Linked DNA regions of Stegostoma tigrinum. The protein of the gene in region 3 purifies or fractionates together with the protein of the main gene of each other region. This does not show direct contact. Links are inferred from orthologs where the notes say so. Each region holds a gene or a part of one and is shown on either strand. Other genes may lie near its edges.

Region 1 (7,707 bases), on a different chromosome or scaffold from region 3:
TGAATGGAACTCTTATTCAAAAAGGGAGACAGTCAGTGCAGGAATCTACAGTTAGTTTGACGTTTGAAATCATTGTTAAAGACATTATGGAAGCGTACTAAAAACGTTCAGGTTACTCAGGCACAGGTAACATACTTTTCTGAAAGAGATCACATTTAACTGACTTAGTAGAATTCTCTTAAGTACTATTAAGAGGAGAATAGATCTCTTGTACATAGATTTCTAGCAGGCTTCTGATGAGGCGTTACATCAAAGGTTATTGTGCAAAATGAAAGCTCATTGTATAGTGATAACACATTGGCGTGGATTGCAGATTGGCTAGCTAACAGTAAAGAGATGCGGAATTGTTGCCTTCTGGTTCGCAAGGTGCAATGCTTGGTGTGTCACACAGATCCATGCAGGGACCACAAGTGTTTACAATTTGTAAAAACGCTTGGCAAAAGGACAGAAAGTCTGATCACCAAATTTGCTGATAACACAAGGCAGAAAGGAGAATAGGTAGGAACAGAGAACAAGAATAGGCTTCAAAGAGATGCAGCTAGCTTAAGTGAGCAGGCAAAGATCTAGTAAACAGTGTCTTGCACAAGAATGCAAAAACATCAATTTTTACAGGAAGAACAAAAACAAAACACAGCATATTATCCAAATAGTGAGAGACTGCACAGCTTTGAGATGCAGAGGGATCTGGATGCCCTACTGAATTAATTGCAAAAGCTACAGATACAGCAGATAATTTGGAAAGCTGAAAGAACGTGATGATTTATTCAAAGTAAAATTGAATACAAATTGAGAAAGGTTACGCTTCATTTAAACAGGGCACTGGTAAAACTGCATCTGGAAAACAGTACACAGTATTGATCACACATAACAGGGAGTAGGGCTGGACGAACAAAGCAGGCTAAGCAGCAAAGGAACAGAAAAGCTAATGTTTTGGGCCTAGACCCAGTATTGATCACCTCACTTAAGGAAGGATGTAGTTCCAATGGAACCTGTTCAGAGAAGGCTCACTGCACTAAAACTGAAATTGGTGGGGTGTCCTATGAGAAAAAGATTGACAGGCAGGGCTTGTATCTGCTGGAAGTTTAGAAGAGTAACCCCACTGGAATGCAACATGTGACATCCCAATGGACTTTGACAGGGCAAAACTGCAAAGCATGCTTCCTCTAACAAGAGAATCAAGAATTGTGGGTCAAAGCCTAAAAATCAGGGGCTGCTTGTTAAAAACACAGACAAAGCATTTTCTTCTCTTGCAGAGAGTCATGAATCTTTGCAACACTCCTCACTTCAAATGGCAGTGGGAAAAGAGTTATTGAATATTTTTACAAGTAGTTAATCAAGTCTTGATACGTCAAAGGTTAGCAGAAGTAGACAGGAAGTTTAACTTTTGGGAAGCATTACAGTTGTCTGTTCTTCTCTCTCTTCACCCCCCCTCCCCCCAACCCCAAGGCTGTCAACAGGTTGAGGAGACAGCTCACTGTGGGCAATAAATGTTAATCTAGGCAGCAAGGCTCATACTCCAGAAACGAATTAAATCAAGGAGTATGGACTTCGAATTGGTTGAGGAACTGAAAGTAAAGCATATTGGCGAGCAGTCATTATCCAGAATGGAAAGCAGTATAAAATATATACACAAAATTTTGATTCTGCCAAAGTACAAGAAATTAATGAGACATAACTTACCCCTTGATTATATACAACCTGCCATCACTTAGGTATTAACAGGCCTGAATCCTTTGTGGATGTTCTGGATTCTCTACATTGTCTGAAATAAATCTACCTGAGCTTACTGCAATTTCTACAATCACGCTGATTTAGGATATTGTTAAATTGGAGAGGATTCAGAAAAGATTTACCAGGACATTGCCAAGACTGGAGCGTTTGAGTTACAAAGAAAGGTTGGATCTTTTTTCGTTGAGTGTAGGAAATGAAGGTGTGACCTTATAGAGGTTCATAACATCATAAGGGCATGGATAAGGTGAATAACAAAGATGTTGATCAGAGGCAGCTTGAGTTGGACATAAGCGTCTGTTTCCATGTTATATGGCTCTATATACATTCCCCTTTCAGCAATGTATTTCAATTCCCTACAATCTCTGCTGATTCAATGTATCTCGTTGATACGGACTACCCAGGCTCTCTAATCTCCAAGATCTGACACATTCCCAATACGGGTGTAATTGAACTGATTATCTTTATGGTCTAGATAACTCCATTATTACTGTACTTGAATTCAGCAAACTGTACTGATTCTTTCGATTCCCCAACAGCAATGTAATTGAACTCCCTGACACATCCAGAGTATATAGTTTGATAACAACGCACCCTGCACGCCGCACAGATTCTACACACTCTCCTGACATCGATGTAGACTTCCAGAGGTTTCCCTCATGTCAACGATTTTGTACCCCCACAAACCGCTCACAGACTTGCCCTGATAACAATGCAAGTGACTACCTCCAAGCTGAGAGCCTACACATTATCGGGGAGGTGAGGCCCCCGCAAATGCCCACTAAGTGCCACACATGACCTGCAGTCTGTGTTGATGGGCTGCTCGCCCCATTTACCTGAGTACTCAGCGGCAGGTGGGCTGCTCCGCGGCTGTCTCAGGGGCTCCTGCTGCTGGATACCGCTCTTCACGTGAACGCCGTTGCCCTGCACGATCGCCGCCCCGTTGGCGGCAGCGGCGGCGGCTCCAGGGCCGCTCCCAGCCGCAGGGCCGACTCCAGGCCCTGAGCCCGGGGCCGCGCACAGCCCGTTTTCCTGAGCACCGTCACCGTGGCCCTGGGCCCTAACTCCACCCGGGCCCGGGGCTTGCGGCCCTCCGGTGGTGGTGGCGCCACCACTACTGCTACCGCTGAAGCTCCGGCCCCGCCCACGGCCCGCTCCCGGGGCCCGGTCGAAAGCGGCGGGTTTGCCGCCCTCCATCGTCCGTAACCGTTCGCCGCTTCAGACCCCTCCCCTCCCCCCAAAACAACATTCACTTCCGGCGGAAGTCGCTCGCGAAGACCCTCACCCCGCATCCGGTTCAAAACAAAACAGCCGGAAGTGCGCAACAATCAGGTTAACTGCCGCCCCTTTGTTCGCCGCCAAAGAGCCCGAGAGCAAGAAGCGACCAGGACGAAGGCTGGATGGTCCTCCAATCGACCAGAAGGCCTTGGGAATAGGAGGAAGTCGGCCGTTCAACCCATCGATTCTGCTCCGCTGTTCAAAGTGATTATCACAGATTTGTTATAAAGGAACAAGAGAAAGCCATTCAGCCGATAAATGACAGCAGGCTTTAATTAGTTCACGATGGACAAGGTCAGAAAGCACATGACATCAGGTTATAGTCCGACAGGTTTATTTGAAAACATAATCTTTCAGAATGCTGGTCTGTCATCTGAAGTGGAGGGAGTTACAGGTACAGAATCTATAGACGGAGAGTTATTTACAACGTCATTCCAGGTGATTAAGAGTGTCAAGAAACAGGACAAATGAGTGTCAAATGGTGTGAGTAAAATGTTAACAGCTGAATAGCAAGTGCAAGGATGACCTATGACCTAAATGATTTAAGAAAAGAAATAATTTTAAAAAATGAAATAATTTCTGTGCCTGTGCGTTTTCCTCCACGTAGTCTGATGAAGGAGTAGTGCTACAAAAGCTTGTGATTTCAGATAAACGTGTTGGTCTATAACCTGGTATCGTGTGACTTCTGACTAATGAGATCATGGTTGATCTGATAATCATAAATCTGCTATGTACGAATAGGAATAGTCCATTTGGCCCGTCAAGCTTTTCTACAATGCAGTGATATCATCGTTTCTTTGTGGTCTCCTACCACATCACTGCCTTTGGCTCATATCTCTTAATAACTACGCTTCAGAAAAAAGTTAGCCATCTCAGATTTAAAGCTAACAATTGATCTAGCATCCACTGTTATTTGTGGAACAGAATTCCAAACCTGTGTGTAGCAATGCTTTCTAACATTCCTCCTGAATGATCGAACCCTGCTTCTAGAATCTCCAATTGGTGGGAATAGTATATCTTCATCTAACTTGTCTTTTAATATCTCGAAGACTTGAGTCAGATCACCCCATAACCTTCTAAATTCAAGAGAAGGAGGCTGATCTCATCAATAATATCATGGCACTCTGATCATCATAGAAGGAGGCCATTCAGCCCATGTTGCTTCCACCAGGGGGCCATTGTCTGACAATTAGGGCCAGGCAATTCAGGAGAGATTAGGAAGGACTTCTACACATAATGGCTGCTTGGCCTGCTGTGTTCATTGTTATCTTGGATTCTCCAGCATCTGTAGTTCCCATTATCTCTGATCACGTAATGGCTGATAGATGTTTGGAACTCCCAGCCACAAACGGCAGTGGATGCTGGATCAGTTATTAATTTAAATATGGAATTGATCATTTTTTTTGTTAAGCAGAAGTATTAAGGGTTTAAGCCACAGACCAGCAAAGGTCTCTTTGAATGGTGGAAGAGGCTCAGGAGCTGGACAGCTGACTCCAGTTCCTAGTTCCTTCGCGAAAAGACATTGCTGCAAAGACCCTCACCAATCATTACTTCATCACCATTAGGCCAACATTTAATCTTACATTTTTAAAAACTGAATTGGAATTTCATCTCTGCCTTGTTGGGATTCGAACCCATAATACTATCAAAGAAGATTCTGAAGAAGAGCTATATTGCACTTGAAACATTAACTCTCTTTCTCTCACTAATGATGATGCCAAATCTGGTGAGTTTGTCCAGCATGTTCTGTTTTTAATCCCCAGAACATTAGCCTGTGGTTCTGCATGACTAACCCACGACACCACTGTCTCCCTTAATGTAGGTTATTACACGTAAGCAACTCGTCCAGGTTATGTGAATAGGATCGATATTGTTACAGACACTCTGAGGAAGACATAGATATGACTTCTCATTCCCTTAAGATTTAAGATATCCAGCCCACAATCCTTGTGACATCACTCGAGTATGTACTACTTACTGCAAACTATAGTATTAACCCTTTCAGTCCCATAACAACCATGCTTTTATTTTGATTATTATTTTACATTTGCATTCATAATTATATTTACCACTACCCCATCTGCCTCAGGTCGCTGACTTTACAAAGTCAAGTGATCTATGGGTTTCATTATTCTCTCAGAGTGTGTTCTTTCCAGTATTAGAAAGTTGATAGTTGCTGCTGGAAGATTATTTTCTGTGACTTACTTCTTGACAATGAGGGGCTGGAGGGCATTTTGAACCAGAGAACCTTTTATCTCTTGGATTTCCTTGGTAGAGAACAGCTTCACCAGTGAAACAGGCAACTGCTTCTTTGACGCACCCTGTTTATGACCATGGTATGGAGATTGACAGTTAACTGCTAGGCTTTGTTAAATTTTGAACCATGAAAGTTGATTCTGTGTGATAAAGTCATTTCCCTCAGAAGTGAACCAGCAAATGGTGGTCACGTATTTTGTTGAATTGGAACAGACACAGTGCATTGTAGAGGTTCGTTCTAACTGCAAAGAGCAGGGCCCTGTGTATTAATATGTGTAACTGCCCGTCCACACAAACTTCATCTATTAACGCACAGCACTTAAGTATTTGTAGTGGTAGAATTTCCATGGCAACACCTCTACCAATCAGAGACTTCTTGCCAACTAATCACTGTTTGTTTTTCCTACAGTGCAAATTGTATTACAAAACAACCTTCTTTTGAACTGATGAGTGCAAGATGAAAATCTTTGACAAAATGCAATTTTTTTCACTCTTACTCAACTTCAGTGCTCTGGTCAATCTAACAAAGAAACAAAGAAACCTACAGCACAGGAACAGGCCCTTCGGCCCTCCAAGCCTGCGCCGATCAAGATCCTCTGTCTAACCTGTCATCTATTTTCTAACGGTCTGTGTCCATTTGCTCCCTGCCCATCCATGTACCTGTCCAAATATATCTTAAAAGACGCTAACGTGTCTGCGTCTACCACCTCCGCTGGCAACGCGTTCCAGGCACCCACCACCCTCTGTGTAAAGAACTTTCCTCGCATATCTCCCTTAAACTTTCCTCCTCTCACTTTGAACTCATGACCCCTAGTAATTGAGTCCCCCACTCTGGGAAAAAGCTTTTTGCTATCCACCCTGTCTATACCCCTCATCTACTTTCTGTCTACCCCAGATAACCCTTACCCTACCTGCTATCTTCTCAAAGACCTATCTGCCTCTGCTTTACCTGCCTCCTACTCTCCACCACTGTTATCAATATCTCTCTGTCTCACCTGTAAAGTAGCACTATTAAAGACAGGAGAGGTCATTGGATAACTATTCCCCTTTTTTCTTACCTCTCTGTTGGTTTGAGAAGTGTTTCAAACCTTTGAGTGTTGTCTTTTTAAGGAATAAATATGTCAGTTCAAGCCATAAGAAAGGAGAAAAATTTATTTTCAGAGAACCCAAAAAGGAAATGCAATGAAAAACCCACCTTCTCAAGCACACGCAGACACACATCCATTTAAGAAAAGATAAGTTCCAGTGATGAAACACGCACTTAGAATGCTAACAGAGTAGCACGAAATGCATCACAACATTTCAGACCATCCTCTAGAATGAAAAGGGCTGAAGGGCCCTCTCTCTCCGTAAAGGAGTAAATAATAAGACGTCATAAGGTGTAACCCCTGTTTAAGCTGGTTTCAGTTTCATGATGGCAGTTTTAGTTCACATAATGGGTTGGAGCTCAGGTGATTGGTATGCAGCTAATAGATGGGGGCTTGTAATGATTGATATGCCACCAATATCACAGTTATGATTAGCTTATTGAAAATCCCTGTTTGACATTCCATAACTCTTGGTGTTGACAGATTGGGCAGCCTTTTAATATCCTTTCAACACAACCCGTTAAAATGTCGAGGGCAGTAAATTTGCGCCTGGAAAATGGGTTTGTATTTTGAAGCAAATACATTACCTCTTTCCAACCAGAACCTACCTAGGTCACCTGACTATCCAGAAACCCATCAGGACAGAGGTCACAAGAATACCAAATCTCAAAAGGAAAATCTGTACTGCACTGAAAGAGATTGCTGAATGTTTAGCAAGTGAATTAAATTGCTGGAGTGTTGCTGTGAAGAATGTATCAGGGGACAGTTAACTTCAAGCTTTTGTTTAAATTGAAACCAGACACGTCAACTCATATTGAGTGAGACATTGCTATGAGCATGGCCCGGAGAATGGCTCCCCTGCTACCCCTCAAGCTTCTGTTGATTTGAGAAAGAGGTAATGTGTGGGCATGTCCCCGCTAAATAGGACAGGGCCAAATGTGTGAGTACAGGCTACTAACACAGCCAAATGAGCCACACTTTGAAAAATCATTCAGTATAAATTGTAATTCCCTTTTAGATTTGGTACTCTTGTGATTCTGTCCAGATCAGTGCAAGACAAAAATGACAGGGTGTTTCTTTTTGACAAAGTTAAAGTTTTGTACCAGCCAGCATCTATCTAAGGGACATGGAGTAATCCAAGCTGTTTTTTTTAAGAGTACCAAACCCAATTATGTTCTGCAGTATGACGGATCAGCACCTCCAGCAATGAGGAAACACAACAAGCCACAAGACAGACAGTGGTCCTGATACTGACCAGAAGGAACAAGCTTAACATGCTCAACACAACAAAAAAGAAGGCCCTGGAAGGACTGCAAAAGGACAAAAACATCATAATCATTCTAGCAGACAAAGGGCA
Region 2 (6,924 bases), on a different chromosome or scaffold from region 3:
TAGAACTCTGTAGGAAACAAGAGAAGTGATTGCTGGGCCCCTTGCTGAGATATTTGCATCATCAATAGCCACAAGTGACTGGAGGCTGGCTAATATGGTGTGACTATTTCGGAAAGGTGGTAAGGAGAAGCCAGGGAGCTATAAAGAGGTGAGCCTGACGTCAGTGTTGGGGAAGTTGTTGGAAAGGATCCTGAGGGACAGGATTTACATGTATTTGAAAAGGCAAGGACTGATTAGGGTTAGTCAACATGGCTTTGTGCATGGGAAGTAGTGTTTCACAATCTTGATTTAAGTTTTCTGAAGAAGTAACAAAAGAGGTTTGATGAAGGCAGAGTGGCGGACATGATCTATAAGGACTTCATTGAGGTGTTTGACAAGGTTTCACATGGTTACTGTTTAGCAAGGTTGAATCACATGAAATACAGGGAAAACTAGCCATTTGGATGCAGAACTACCTCAAAGATAGAAGACAAAGGCTGATGGTGGAGGGTTGCTTTTCAGACTGGAGGCCCGTGACTAGCAGTGTGCCACAAGGATCAGTGCTGGGTCCACTGCTTTTGTCATTTGTTGAAATGATTTGGATGTGAACTCGGGAGGTATATTTAGTATATTTGCAGATGGCACCAAAATTGATGGTACAGGAGACAGCCAAGAAGGTTACCTCAGAGTCCAACAGGACCTTGATCAAATGGGCCAGTGAGTTGAGAAATAGCAGATGGAGTTTAATTTAGATGAAAGTGAGGTGCTGCACTTTGGAAAGGCATATCAGGGCAGGACTTACAGACTTCATAGTAAGGTCCTGGGGAGTGTTGCTGAACAAAGAGATCTTGGAGTGCAGGTTCATAGTTCCATGAAAGTAGAGGCACAGGTAGACAGGATAGAGAAGAAGGCACTAGGTATGCTTACCCTTATTGGTCAGAGCATTGAGTATAGGTGATAGCAAGTCATGTTGTGGCCGTACAGGACATTGGTTAGGCTACTACTGGAATACTGTGTTCAGTTCTGGTCTCCATGATATAGGAAGGATGTTCAGAAACTTGAAACAGTTCAGAAAAGATTTATAAGGGCTGTGACAGGGTTGGAGGGTTTGAGTTTTAGGGAGATGGTAAATAGGCTGTGGCTATTTTCCCTGCAGCGTCAGAGGCTGAGGGATGACCTTAAAGAAGCTTATAAAATCTTGAGGGGCGTGGATAGGGTGAATAGACAAGGTCTTTTTCCTGGGTTAACGGAGCCCAAAACTAGAGTGCACAGATTTAAGATGAGGGGAAAGATTTAAAAGGGATCTATGGGGGCAACTTTTTCACACAGAGGATGGTGCGTGTATGGAATGAACTGCCAGATGAAGTGGTGGAGGCCAGTACAATTACAACATTTAAAAGGCATCTGGATGGGCATATGAATAGGAAGGGTTTAGCGGGAAATGGGCCAAATGCTGGCAAATGGGACTAGATTAATTTAGGATATCTGGTCAGCATGGACAAGTTGGCCCGAGAGGTTTGCTGTACGCTGTTCAGCTCTATGACAATACGGCCTCATCTAGCCTGCTAGTTATACAATGTAGATATATTAGTTAGTGCTGTGTGTATTATTTTTATCCCATGAGATTAGTAGCCATGTACTGATAATCCTCAAATGGTGTGAGTTATGACAGGGATGATAATCCACAGTGTGACTGCATTTGGTGAAGAGACAATGGTGTTACAAGAAGGAGTTTTACATGCAGCAATAGATTAAAATCCAGGAAGTATTGTGTGAGAGTAGCGTGAGGGCTTAATCAGTTCAAGCATTCAAGACAAAATTGGATTATCATCTGAAAAGGAAGAATGTGCTGATTTTTGGGGAAAGACAGGGGAATGGCACAAAGTACATTGAGACTGGCAAAGAAACAGCAAGCTGAAAGGCCTTCATTTCCTCTGTAACAACACTATGATTTTGGGTTAGTCAGGATCCAGCTATAGATGAAGCAGCTTGAAGTGGAAAGATAAATTCAGTAATTTAAATTAAGAAAAAGTGAAATTTTGAAATACTCAAACTGCAAGAGGAAAACAGAAAAGAACATAGTTTAAAATGAATTCCATGGTTTAATGCTTATGTGGATTGTGTGTTCTTTTTACTTTTTCAACTGAGGCAGTATTTCTATTGACCAGACAGCGTTATTCTAGCACGTACGGAAATTGCTTGGGGACTACAAGGAAACCCACTGTCGCACTCTCCTAAGTAAATGCCTGGGAAATTCAATTTTCTGCTGGCAATTCTATTATGCCACAAAAATCTAAGAAATTGGATAGTTGCAATGAAATTAAGTAAAATAGTTACTCAGGACATCTTGAATAAGAGTGAAGTACTCAGGAAAAGCTAGACCATTAAATACATTGCATAACTCTTGACCATACATTAAACTTACACTCAAACCCTGGCTAGATGCTGTTTGGGAACCTGACACCCCAGACCTCGTGACATACAAAACCCACTACTTTCTGGTCCAGATACCCCTTCCCCAAACCCACCAAACGCCCTGTCTCCAGATCCAACAGGCCCCTCCGTCAGGACCCATCAGACCCAACAAATCTGCCTTCCCAAATCAGCCCACAGACCACTGCCACCTGATTCAACCACCCCACACTGCCAGACGTGATTATCCATTTCCCCCCGAACTGCTGGACTGGACAAGAACTGAACCCTTCTGCTGTCTAGATATCCGCCCACTCTCCTGCTGCCAGGCCTGAAGCTCCCAGGATCTCTAACCTGTGCTAGACCTACCCATGCTGACTTATCTTAGACACTTGCCTTTCCCCTATCCACTTGGCACCCTAGTCTACCTCAATTGACACCCTACCCATTAGGTACTTTACTTAGCTGGCACCCTATTGTGTGCAGGCACCCATCTGGCATCGAACCACCTGCTACCATACCCACAGTCCAGCTGGCACCCTAACGTGGCACCATACTCCCCTGGTACCCTATAACCTCTACCTATCCTGCACCCAGTCATAGCCCCCTGACTTCACTCTTCCCCTATAACATTTGACGTTTGACAGCAACTAGGAGGATCATTGAGTTTCAGAACAGCGTCGCTAACTGCGAGAACTGTCAGAATGGAAGCATGGTTCCGCATTTCTAAGCGGCCCTGAGCGGAATCTCCTTCAGAAATGCGGACTTCTCCCTTCTTCCGTTAGGGAAGGACCAAGCTCCTCGGAAAATCTGGCCCCCGCGAAGTGGAAATGGGAACTGCAGATGCTGTAGAATCCACGGTAACAAAGTGTGGAGCTGGATGAACACAGCAGGCCAAGCAGCCTCTCAGGAGCACAAAAGCTGACGTTTCGGTCCTCTCTGATGAAGGGTCTAGGCCCAAAACGTCAGCTTTTGTGCTCCTGAGATGCTGCTTGGCCTGCTGTGTTCATCCAGCTCCACACTTTGCTACCTCGCGAAGTGGAGCTTATTTATTGCAAATTTCATCGTGATTTGTCACTTACATTTATTGCATAATAATATTCGCATCTACCCATAGTGTAAGGCTGCATTACATCTTAAAATTCAACACAAGGTGATCACTTCTTCCCTGGTACACGGGGGGAGGGTATTTTAAGCGGTCAGCAAATATATCAGCAACCAGAAAACATGTATGGTGCCTTATGTACAATATTTGGCGTACGTTGTGATGGTAAATGACATCGTGTTTACGTTACAACTTGCCATCTCCTGTTTTGAAATTATGGATGCAACAACCTCACTCTGCCACCCTCCGACCAAACTCCATTCGCTTTCAATACCCGCGCATGCGCTGTCTCCGGAAAATACCGAGGGAGACAAACCCTTTTCTCCGGAAATTATCGATCACATTTTCCGGGCTGTTCAGGGAGTCACAGTTACCATAGAAACCTGGATCTGCATGATTATTCTCCATCTTTATCCTCTTTACTTTATTCACGGGGACGGCTCTGACGCGAGTTTTGTTTTATTAAATTTTTTTTATTTTTTCCACTCTTGACCCCACCACCACCTGCATGTAGGCGGGCGCCGATCGGAACGAGTGATCCGTATCGTGGACGGGACGTGGCGCTTGTGCGGTTTTGTTCTCTCCGGAAGTATCAGTTAGCGTCTTCTGGAGACGGCGTGCGCGACCCCGAGCCCCAGACCGAGCCTTTTCCCCGGAAGTGGTGGCGCAGGGGCCGGTGGGAGGCCCCGCTGTAGCCGCGCGGTGACTGTGGTGGATAATGGCGGAGGCAGCGGCATCCATGGGGACGGCGGCGGCGGCAGCAGCTGGAGGAGCAGGAGGCAGCAGTAGTGGCGGCGCTGGTGGAGTTGGCTGGACTAAACAGGTCACGTGCAGGTAATCGAAAATGATGGTTCGTTTTTATGCCACATAGCTTTTGTACGCCCGAATGTAATCAGCCACACAACCATAAAAGGCCTTTCACAGGCGATCTGTTTAAACGTCAGTTGATGCTGCGAGTGGCAACGAAAACAGAAAACGATTGGTACTGTTCCTAGTTAGACCAGTTCCCGAGATGGGGCTTTTAGGTATGGCATGCATCAGGGTTTTATAGGAGTAAAAGAAATGGGTTTTGTTCAACTCCCTCTTGATTTCGGATTTTTAAAGTGTTCTGAATCTTTCCGGGCTCCTTTTCATGTTGTCTTTAAAAGGGATGTGTTTATTGGTTCTGAGGTGCCTTTGAAAGTTGCTAAGAAACTTTGAGGTCATGTCAACCAAAAACTGCCGAGAGTTAGTTTTCTCAATATTCGTAAGAGCCTAAAATATATTGTACGTTTACGTTTTAAATCGAATGTAAATAATTGAATATTTTGTACAGTTTTAGGAGCAATTGAGTAAAACCTTATTGTTTCTATTTTACTGTAGATTCGAGGGAGCGAATTGGTTTATAGCTGAACTTTTCTTTGCATCTCTACTCAAAATTTGCGAATTTGTATAATTTCGTATGGTCTTCTGGGTTGATCAGTCGAATGCTGTAACTTTGGATACTTGAAACAACAGTGTAGTATAGCACACAAATATTTTAGTCTTGGAGATAGTGTTGGGTAAAATCGCAAAGGGACTATGCTAGTTAGAGTGGGCAAAACTTTTTGCAGATGTAATTCAGTGTAAGAACTGAGATTTGCCCAATTGGAATCTAAAAGTAATTACAGTATTTAAATGGAAATAATCTAAAAACTATGACTGAGCAGAGAGATTTGTGGGTCCAGCCACAGAGTCAGTGGGGTTGATGCACGTATAACACTTCTGTTATTTGTCTCAGGTGGCTGGAATATAAAAGGTTGGAAGTTGTATTCTCATGATATAGGACTCTGGTTTAGACATTAACTGGGCTGCCGCATCCTGTTTTGAGGTCTGTATCTCAGAAAGCTATATTGAGTTTGTAAAACGCAAAGTACAGATTGGAGTTTCATCAGGGCTAGAAGAGTTAAATTATGAAAAACAATTGAGTAGGGTGTATTCCTTTAAATATAGAAGGTTAAGCACTTCTCTTGAGGTTTTTAAGATGATCACAGAAGCTAGTGGCTCCTCTCTTTTGCTGGTCTATTTCTTTTGGAGGGTATCTCCAGAACAACATAAACTTTGAGTTCATCCCTTGGTGAAATCAGAAGACACTTCCTCAAGTAAAATGCAATAGAAATCTTAAACAACTGTTGAAGAATGCCCAATTGAATGTTTAAAAGCCGGAAATGTTAGATTTTTGTTTTACAAAGAACTGTGGGTGTTAGATTTCTGTACAGCACTTTCTTTAAAAATCTTGTGTTCGTAACATGTACATCACTGGCATGGCCAACATTGTTGCCTATTTCTTGGTGGTGAAGTGCCTTCTTGAATGACTGGAATCCTTGTGCTGGAGATGCTCCCACATGGTATTAAGCAGTGTTCCAGGAATTTCACCTAAAGAAGATGAAGAATACTTCTTCAACTTGCAGGTGGTGGAAATCCCATACGTCTACTGTTTTTGTTTTTCTAGGTGGTAGAGGTCACAGGTTTGGAAGGTGTTGTTGAAGAAACTTTTTGGCAAGTTGCAGTCAAAGTTGTAGATAGTATGTATTGCAAACAGTGTCCTGCTGTTACCGGCAGCAAATGTTTCATGGGGTGGTTCATGTGTTGATTAAGAGGATGTCTGATGTCCACCTGGAGTGATATGCCTGAAAAATACCATGAAATCAGACAGTATCCTGTCTCACACAAGACTTACCACATCTCGCTTGATTGGCACCACCATTGCACAATGGCAGCAGTTTGTACAGTTACGTATATGCACTGCAGCAGCTCAACAAGATTTATGAAATTGCATCTTCCAAACCTATAACTTCAATCATCAAGAAATATGGGGGCAGCGGATGTATAGCAATAATGGCAATTGCAAGTTCCCCTTCAGGCAGCACAGAATACTAACTTGGAATCATTTTGAATTTATTTCACAGTTATTCAGTCACAGCCCTGGAAGTCCCTTCCTAAGAGCACTGTAGGTGTACCTCATGGTCAAAAAAGTGGCTCACTGCTAATTTGCAAGGAACATTAAGGATGGCTAATAAATGCTGGCATTGCCAGTGATGACCATGTCCGACAAAATTATATGTTAAATACAATAGGTGCAGGAGTAGATCATGAGACTCATTGATTCTGCTCTACCTTCAGTCTGATCAGGGTTGATTTTTAGCCTGAACTCTACTTTTCCCATTTGCACATCCCTTGATTCCTTGAGAAATCAAGGTTAGGAAATTAATTGTGTCACAGGCTACCCAGTCTGTGCCTTGCTCTTGTCACCACAGTATTTCAGCAGCTTGTCTGGTTGAGATTCTTAACAATGCTAACATGACATGAATGTTGATGTTGTGAGATTTAGCAATGAGAGTTCTCTTGAATGTTGTAGATAGGCTGTCATTTGCTGAAATTAGCTATTGACTGGCACTGTAGCTCTTGTC
Region 3 (7,164 bases):
TAGATTAAGGAGGATTCCGATTGGCTGAGAACTGTGGTTATGCCCACGATAGTTGCACAGTTTCGCTCAGCATCAGAACCTTTCATTGTTTTGTGTTAGAGCTGGTGCTGTGATGTCAGGAGGATCACAGAACAACAACTGAAAAAGATTTTTTAAAAATTTTAACAGACATTAAAACAAAGTGAAACTAATAATCTAAGTGCAACAATTAAATCAAAAGGTATAATTATCCATATTTCAGCACACTAGTTATTGTTTTAAGCACTATAACTTGTGCTAAGATATATTACTTGTGTGCTGAAACTTATTCGGCTGAACAAGAAATTAGACAATGTCTGCTACTATCCTATTGTAAAATGAATTTAAGTTACTAGAAGACACCAAATAGCTTTTCCTCATCGTAAAATTTCCAAGGTGATAGATGCCAATTTTTTCCAAAATTCAATCACAGCAGGGACAAAGTAACATACGAAATGGCTAACACTGCACTTTCTAAAGCCAAGATGAATACCATCTGCTGATAATCCCCAGCATTGTTGCAAATACACAAAACTTGACCCAACAATCAGAGGAAGGGAAAGGGTAGATGTTCTCTGTGCAGAAACTATGTAATGCCAGATGAGATTGAATGAACTAGTCCAACATAGCAGACAAAAAACAATTTTAAGTACAAAAGTGAGTAAAAGGCTAGAAAACTATCTTATTACAATTAAAGTACATACAATCAGACACTCTCTCATCACTTAGTGGATAAATGGATAACCTGATATAGTGGTGAACCAGACATTCGAGAAAATCCAGGGTTCAAAGGCTGTAATTTGCTAAGTTTTCTGATCTCAAACCCAAGTCACAATCTACTTCAGCTCATTATGCTTGAAGATAAAGGAGAACTGCTCAGCAACAATGCAAAGCATTCAGTCACTGACAAGGATCATATTGCTGCATATTAGCACTTCAGACACATCTTCACTATACTTCAACGACATTTTAATATTGAAGGCATCCTTCAAAGTGACTACCCGTTAAGTCCCTTGGCTGAACTGCTACTTTGCAACATCCAGTGACACCAAAAGCATGGGTTCAATTCCTGTATCGACTGAGGTTACCATGAAGGAACTGCGTTCTCAATCCTGCCCCTCACCCAACACATGGTGGCCCTCAGATTAAACTCACCAGCAGTTATTTTTGTATTCTAAGAAGAAAGCGACCCATAGTCCTCTGGGAATATGGGTGCCTTTCACTTCAATCTTGAATTTTAATATGTACAAAACTCTAATCCAATTTTAGAGTACTATACCAATGACAGTAGAAAACTGCTAGGTCCTCCTTCCATCCTGTACAATATAATGGTTCCTTCAGAGGTCTTAACCAAAAGGACATTATATAAATGCAAAGTTTAGACTGCATTTGCTCGCTAACTCTGAGTCACAGCCATGAACTCTCCACAAGGGGTTCATCTGAAGAAATCTGGTATTGGACACTAATTGCTTTTTATTTCCCCTCAACCCAGAAACACTGAAGCTAATTATAGGTGCATTTTCCAAAATCTCTGCTAAAAATAGCTAATGAACAGTTTTTGTAGGTTGTTTGGCCTAGTAATAAATCAAGTCCTTCATCAGCTCATTGAGCCATGATAGGTGCTCTACAACTTTTCTTCCTCAAGGACATCAGGCCCATAACTGTTTTTTGTGCCTGAAATGCTTTTCACCTCCTGGATATTTACCTTGTCATGGCCCTGCCTGTAATTTCTTTAGAACATCTTAAAAAGAACTGTGCCAGCTGCCAATTCATTGCCAACCGTGACATTGACAAATGTTACAAGTCATTATCGATTTTCATACCTGTGACATTGTGTTTACAAACGGAGATCCCCAAGGTCATGAGATTTCAATCCCTTCAGAATTCGTAACCTTTTTTAATTTTACTAGCCCATCATTTCAGCTACCTGCAATGAAATCGACGAGGTTTTAAACTAACTGGCGGTGTATTTTAAAGATCGGGGCAGGGAGATCTCCCAGATGAGAAAAGTTTGGCGCTATTCAAACCATCGGACAGACGAGAAACATTTCCTTTCGCTTGCCAGCAGCCAGTGGTATTTATATCTCTGGGCAGTGATGAGTTTGGACGTTGGCCTCCAGCAGCCACACAGCCCCCAGTGACGAGGGGCTGGATGGAGAAGCCTGGGGAGAAGGGCGGATGTGGTTCGGTCGAAGATTTTTTTTAAAAAAAACAAAAATAAAGCGTCTGGCTCACCGTCTGCGGGCTGCTGGAAGTTGACATAGGCGTATCCGAGCGACCTCCTGGTGATCATGTCTCTACAAACCCTGATGGAGAGCACAGGCCCGGCCGGACTAAATTTCTCATACAGCATCGCCTCGGTCACATCTGGGTGCAGGTCGCCGACATAAAGCGAGGCCATCGGGTAACTGGCACCGGTCTGATTCATCCTCAGACAGTCCGACACAAATTAAACGATCAACTTTCCCCCCCCCCCCCCCCCTAACGAAACGGGAGACAGCGAGCGCGAGGAATTGAAAGAAAAAGGGGAGTGGGCGAGGAACCGTCGGGCAAAGAACTTTCCAGAAATGCTCGAACCGGTTAAATCTGATTCTCTTCCTTATCTCCTGAAGCCTGTGGCCTATTGAGTTAACAGATCCCCGGCTCTTATAATTCTTTTCTTTTGTTTTGTTTTTAAAAACCGCTTCAGATACTTCAGCTTCCAGAAACTTCGGAAGGTTTGTCCGCACCCGATTCCAGGCGATAAATCCCAGAGCGTGGCTGAGACCTGGTTGGCTTTATTTTTCCTTTTTTTTAAAATTATTAAAAGTAACTGGATTTTCGCCCTCTTCACAACTTAGTTCCACCGATTTTTATTTTTGTTTTTTTCTGTTTATAAGATTTTTTTGATTTTTTTAAAGATTTTTTTTCACGTATGAGTGTGCGCTACCTCAGGAGCTTTTCCACACTCACACATGTGGCTAGGAGACGGAGAGAGAGTAATGGAGGAGGAGGCTTTTTATATCAACCAGCAAACGGTCCCGTCATTTCCTGCGCCATCAGAATGAAAGGCAAAATGAACAAGAGAGGAGGAAAGAAAAAAACCCAACAACTCAGCTTAGTCAGCTACAGCCGCTGCCCTCTGCAGGCTCAACAGCTCAGAGTTTCTGTCCCTTCAAGTTCAGCAGGTTTGCAAAAGACTTCCAACGCAAAGCATGTGCCATAGTCTATCCGAGATAATGGGAACTGCAGATGCTGAAGAATCCTAGATAATAAAGTGTGAAGCTGGATGAACACAGCAGGCCAAGCAGCATCTCAGGAGCACAAAAGCTGACGTTTCGGGCCTAGACCCTTCATCAGAGAGGGGGATGGGGTGAGGGTTCTGGAATAAATAGGGAGAGAGGGGGAGGCGGACCGAAGATGGAGAGAAAAGAAGATAGGTGGAGAGAGTATAGGTGGGTAGGTGGGGAGGGGATAGGTCAGCCCAGGGAAGACGGACAGGTCAAGGAGGTGGGATGAGGTAGATGGGGGTGCGGCTTGGGCTGGGAGGAAGGGATGGGTGAGAGGAAGAACAGGTTAGGGAGGCAGAGACAGGCTGGACTGGTTTTGGGATGCAGTGGGTGGAGGGGAAGAGCTGGGCTGGTTGTGTGGTGCAGTGGGGAGAGGGGACGAACTGGGCTGGTTTTGGGATGCGGTGGGGGAAGGGGAGATTTTGAAGCTGGTGAAGTCAACGTTGATACCATTAGGCTGCAGGGTTCCCAGGCGCAATATGAGTTGCTGTTCCTACAACCTTCGGGTGGCATCATTGTGGCACTGCGGAGATTTTGAAGCTGGTGAAGTCAACGTTGATACCATTAGGCTGCAGGGTTCCCAGGCGCAATATGAGTTGCTGTTCCTACAACCTTCGGGTGGCATCATTGTGTAGCATTTTCTGCGGTTGCAGGGGAAGGTGCCGGATGTGGTGGGGTTGGAGGGCAGTGTGGAGCGAACAAGGGAGTCACAGAGAGAGTGGTCTCTCCGGAAAGCAGACAGGGGTGGGGATGGAAAAATGTCTTGGGTGGTGGGGTCGGATTGTAGATGGCGGAAGTGTCGGAGGATGATGCGTTGTATCCAGAGGTTGGTGGGGTGGTGTGTGAGAACGAGGGGGATCCTCTTTGGGCAGTTGTGGCGGGGGCAGGGTGTGAGGGATGTGTTGCGGGAAATGCGGGAGACGCGGTCAAGGGCATTCTCGATCACTGTGGGGGGAAAGTTGCGGTCCTTGAAGAACTTGGACATCTGGGATGTGCTGGAGTGGAATGTCTTATCGTGGGAGCAGATGCGGCGGAGGCGGAAGAATTGGGAATAGGGGATGGAATTTTTGCAGGAGGGTGGGTGGGAGGAGGTGTATTCTAGGTAGCTGTGGAAGTCGGTGGGCTTGAAATGGACATCAGTTACAAGCTGGTTGCCTGAGATGGAGACTGAGAGGTCCAGGAAGGTGAGGGATGTGCTGGAGATGGCCCAGGTGAACTGAAGGTTGGGGTGGAAGGTGTTGGTGAAGTGGATGAACTGTTCGAGCTTCTCTGGGGAGCAAGAGGTGGCGCCGATACAGTCATCAATGTACCGGAGGAAGAGGTGGGGTTTGGGGCCTGTGTAGGTGCGGAAGAGGGACTGTTCCACGTAACCTACAAAGAGGCAGGCATAGCTGGGGCCCATGCGGGTGCCCATGGCCACCCGCTTAGTCTGTAGGAAGTGGGACTTCACCAGTTTCAAAATCTCCCCTTCCCTCACCGCATCCCTAAACCAGCCCAGTTCGTCCCCTCCCCCCACTGCGCCACACAACCAGCCCAGCTCTTCCCCTCCACCCACTGCATCCCAAAACCAGTCCAACCTGTCTCTGCCTCCCTAACCTGTTCTTCCTCTCACCCATCCCTTCCTCCCACCCCAAGCCGCACCCCCATCTACCTACTAACCTCATCCCACCTCCTTGACCTGTCTGTCTTCCCTGGACTGACCTATCCCCTCCCCACCTCTGCACCTATACTCTCCTCTCCACCTATCTTCTTTTCTCTCCATCTTCGGTCCGCCTCCCCCTCTCTCCCTATTTATTCCAGAACCCTCATCCCATCCCCCTCTCTGATGAAGGGCCTAGGCCCGAAACGTCAGCTTTTGTGCTCCTGAGATGCTGCTTGGCCTGCTGTGTTCATCCAGCCTCACATTTTATTGCCATAGTCTATCCCTTCAGGTTACTCTCTGAAGAGTCTGGCCCACAAGGGTATTCACGGACTACAAGATTGGGTCCCACCTCCGTCGTGCCCTGGCCCCCTCCGAAGCTGTGATTATGTCTGGGTCAAGAGGCAGAAGCTCCTGCATGGTCAAAGCAACTGGGGAAATCTTCAATAGATAACAAGGTGTAGAGCTGGATGAACACAGCAGGCCGAGCAGGAAGGCTGACATATCCGGCCTAGACCCCTCTGATGCTGCTTGGCCTGCTGTGCTCATCCAGCTCTACACCTTGTTATCTCCGATTCTCCAGCATCTGCAGTTCCTACTGTCTTGGGGGAAATCTTCATTTTGGTTGTAAGTTGGGGAGGGGTTATGATATTTCATTGCTCTGTTTCACAGCTGTCAGGCACAGCAATATTTTTTATGGAATCTTGCAAAACCTTACTAGGCAGAGGAACATTATAAAACAATTGTGTGACAACAAACCCATTAAGGAGTGTTGTAAAAATGGAAAGTGGGGAGAGGTGTCAGGAGGGATTTCCAAAGTTTGCGCCCCAGATACAGCGACCACTGGTGTAGTAATTAAAATTTAGGGTAATGCACAAGAGGCAAGAGTTAGTGGATTGCAGATATCCCAGGGGATTGTGGGGCTTGGGATGGGGGAGAAGTTCAGACAATAGAGGGATTTGAAAAATGAGAATTTCAAAAGGATAACATTGCTTGTTTGGAGGTCAGTGAGCACAAGGATGATAGGGCAATGGTACTTGTGTGTTAACATGCAGGCAACAATATTTTGAATGATCTAAATAGAGTATAGGTTATGGGAGACCAGCCAAAGGTGCATTGGAATGGTCAAATCTAGAGACAGAGAAGATAGACGAGCTGAGGCAGAGATAACAAAGTGTAGAGCTGATCTAGGCCCAGAATGTCAGCTTTTCTGCTCCTAAGATGCTGCTTGGCCTGCTGCGTTTATCCAACTCTACACTTTGTTATCTCGGATTCTCCAGCATCTGCAGTTCCTATTATCTCTGAGCTGAGACAGAACTGACTTCAGATGATGTTACAATGTGGAAGTAGACATTCTTAGCGATAGCATGAATGGGAAATCAGAGGTTCAGTTCAGGATCAATGCCAGTCTGACTTAATATTAGACTGTTATCAGCGAAAGGAATAGAGTTTGTAACTAGGGAATAGGGTATGGATTTGGGTTAAAGGCAATGACTTCAGACTTCACAATATTTAATTGGAGGAAATTTCTACTCAACCAGTACCGGATATCGGATAAGCAGTCTGCTCATTTATCAGCAGTGAAGAAGTCAAGCTGGTGAAGGTAGATTTGTGTGTTGTTATAGTGTACGTGTGAAAACTAATGCTGTGCTTTTGGATGGAGTTCTCGTTTGGTAGCATGTAGATGGGAAATAGGAAGGAACCAAGGATATATCTTTGACACCAGAGACATCAACACAATAACAGGAAAAGGAACCATGACAGTGATTCTCTGGCTACAATAGAATAAACAAGAGTAGAAACAGGTGACAGCAGTTACATCTATCTGAATGACAGTTTGAAAGGTGTAAGAGGTTATTGCTATGGTCAACCATGTCAAACTCTGCAGATGGATTAAGAAAAATGTAAAGAGAAAGTTTACTATGGTCACGGTCACATAGGCTGTAATTTGTGATTTTGATAAGAACTGTTTGGTACTGTGTCAGGTAGAAATTGATTGAAGGGATTCAAACCTAGAATACAAAAGAAAAAGAGATAAGGTGTAGAGCTGGATGAACACAACAGGCTGAGCAGCATCTTTGTTCCTAAGATGCTGCTTGGCTTGCTGTGTTCATCCAGCTCTACACCTTGTTATCTTGGATTCTCCAGCATCTGCAGTTCCTATTATCGCTGATACAAATGAAAATCTTGTGTTTCTTCAGTGATTTCGCAGTCCAAAGTGCTTTACTTTCAATAAAG

The links. The genes of interacting proteins can lie anywhere in the genome.
Region 1: the proteins of polyadenylate-binding protein 4-like (region 3) and paip1 purify together in Homo sapiens (co-immunoprecipitation; 3 studies listed by BioGRID and IntAct, with this or other methods). This does not show direct contact. The link is inferred for Stegostoma tigrinum from reciprocal best matches to the Homo sapiens genes PABPC4 and PAIP1.
Region 2: the proteins of polyadenylate-binding protein 4-like (region 3) and mkrn1 purify together in Homo sapiens (affinity purification with mass spectrometry; 3 studies listed by BioGRID and IntAct, with this or other methods). This does not show direct contact. The link is inferred for Stegostoma tigrinum from reciprocal best matches to the Homo sapiens genes PABPC4 and MKRN1.

The regions. Positions count from the first base shown.
Region 1 is NC_081356.1:133,967,186-133,974,892, forward strand, and holds the start of paip1 (polyadenylate-binding protein-interacting protein 1), read right to left. Parts: upstream 3,002-7,707; 5' UTR 2,926-3,001; coding exon 2,565-2,925; intron 1-2,564. UniProt on the Homo sapiens protein: Acts as a coactivator in the regulation of translation initiation of poly(A)-containing mRNAs. Its stimulatory activity on translation is mediated via its action on PABPC1. Competes with PAIP2 for binding to PABPC1.
Region 2 is NC_081371.1:23,327,806-23,334,729, reverse strand, and holds the start of mkrn1 (probable E3 ubiquitin-protein ligase makorin-1), read left to right. Parts: upstream 1-3,923; 5' UTR 3,924-4,214; coding exon 4,215-4,330; intron 4,331-6,924. UniProt on the Homo sapiens protein: E3 ubiquitin ligase catalyzing the covalent attachment of ubiquitin moieties onto substrate proteins. These substrates include FILIP1, p53/TP53, CDKN1A and TERT.
Region 3 is NC_081377.1:33,630,396-33,637,559, reverse strand, and holds the start of polyadenylate-binding protein 4-like, read right to left. Parts: upstream 3,006-7,164; 5' UTR 2,447-3,005; coding exon 2,254-2,446; intron 1,946-2,253; exon of another isoform or gene 1,842-1,945; intron 139-1,841; exon of another isoform or gene 1-138.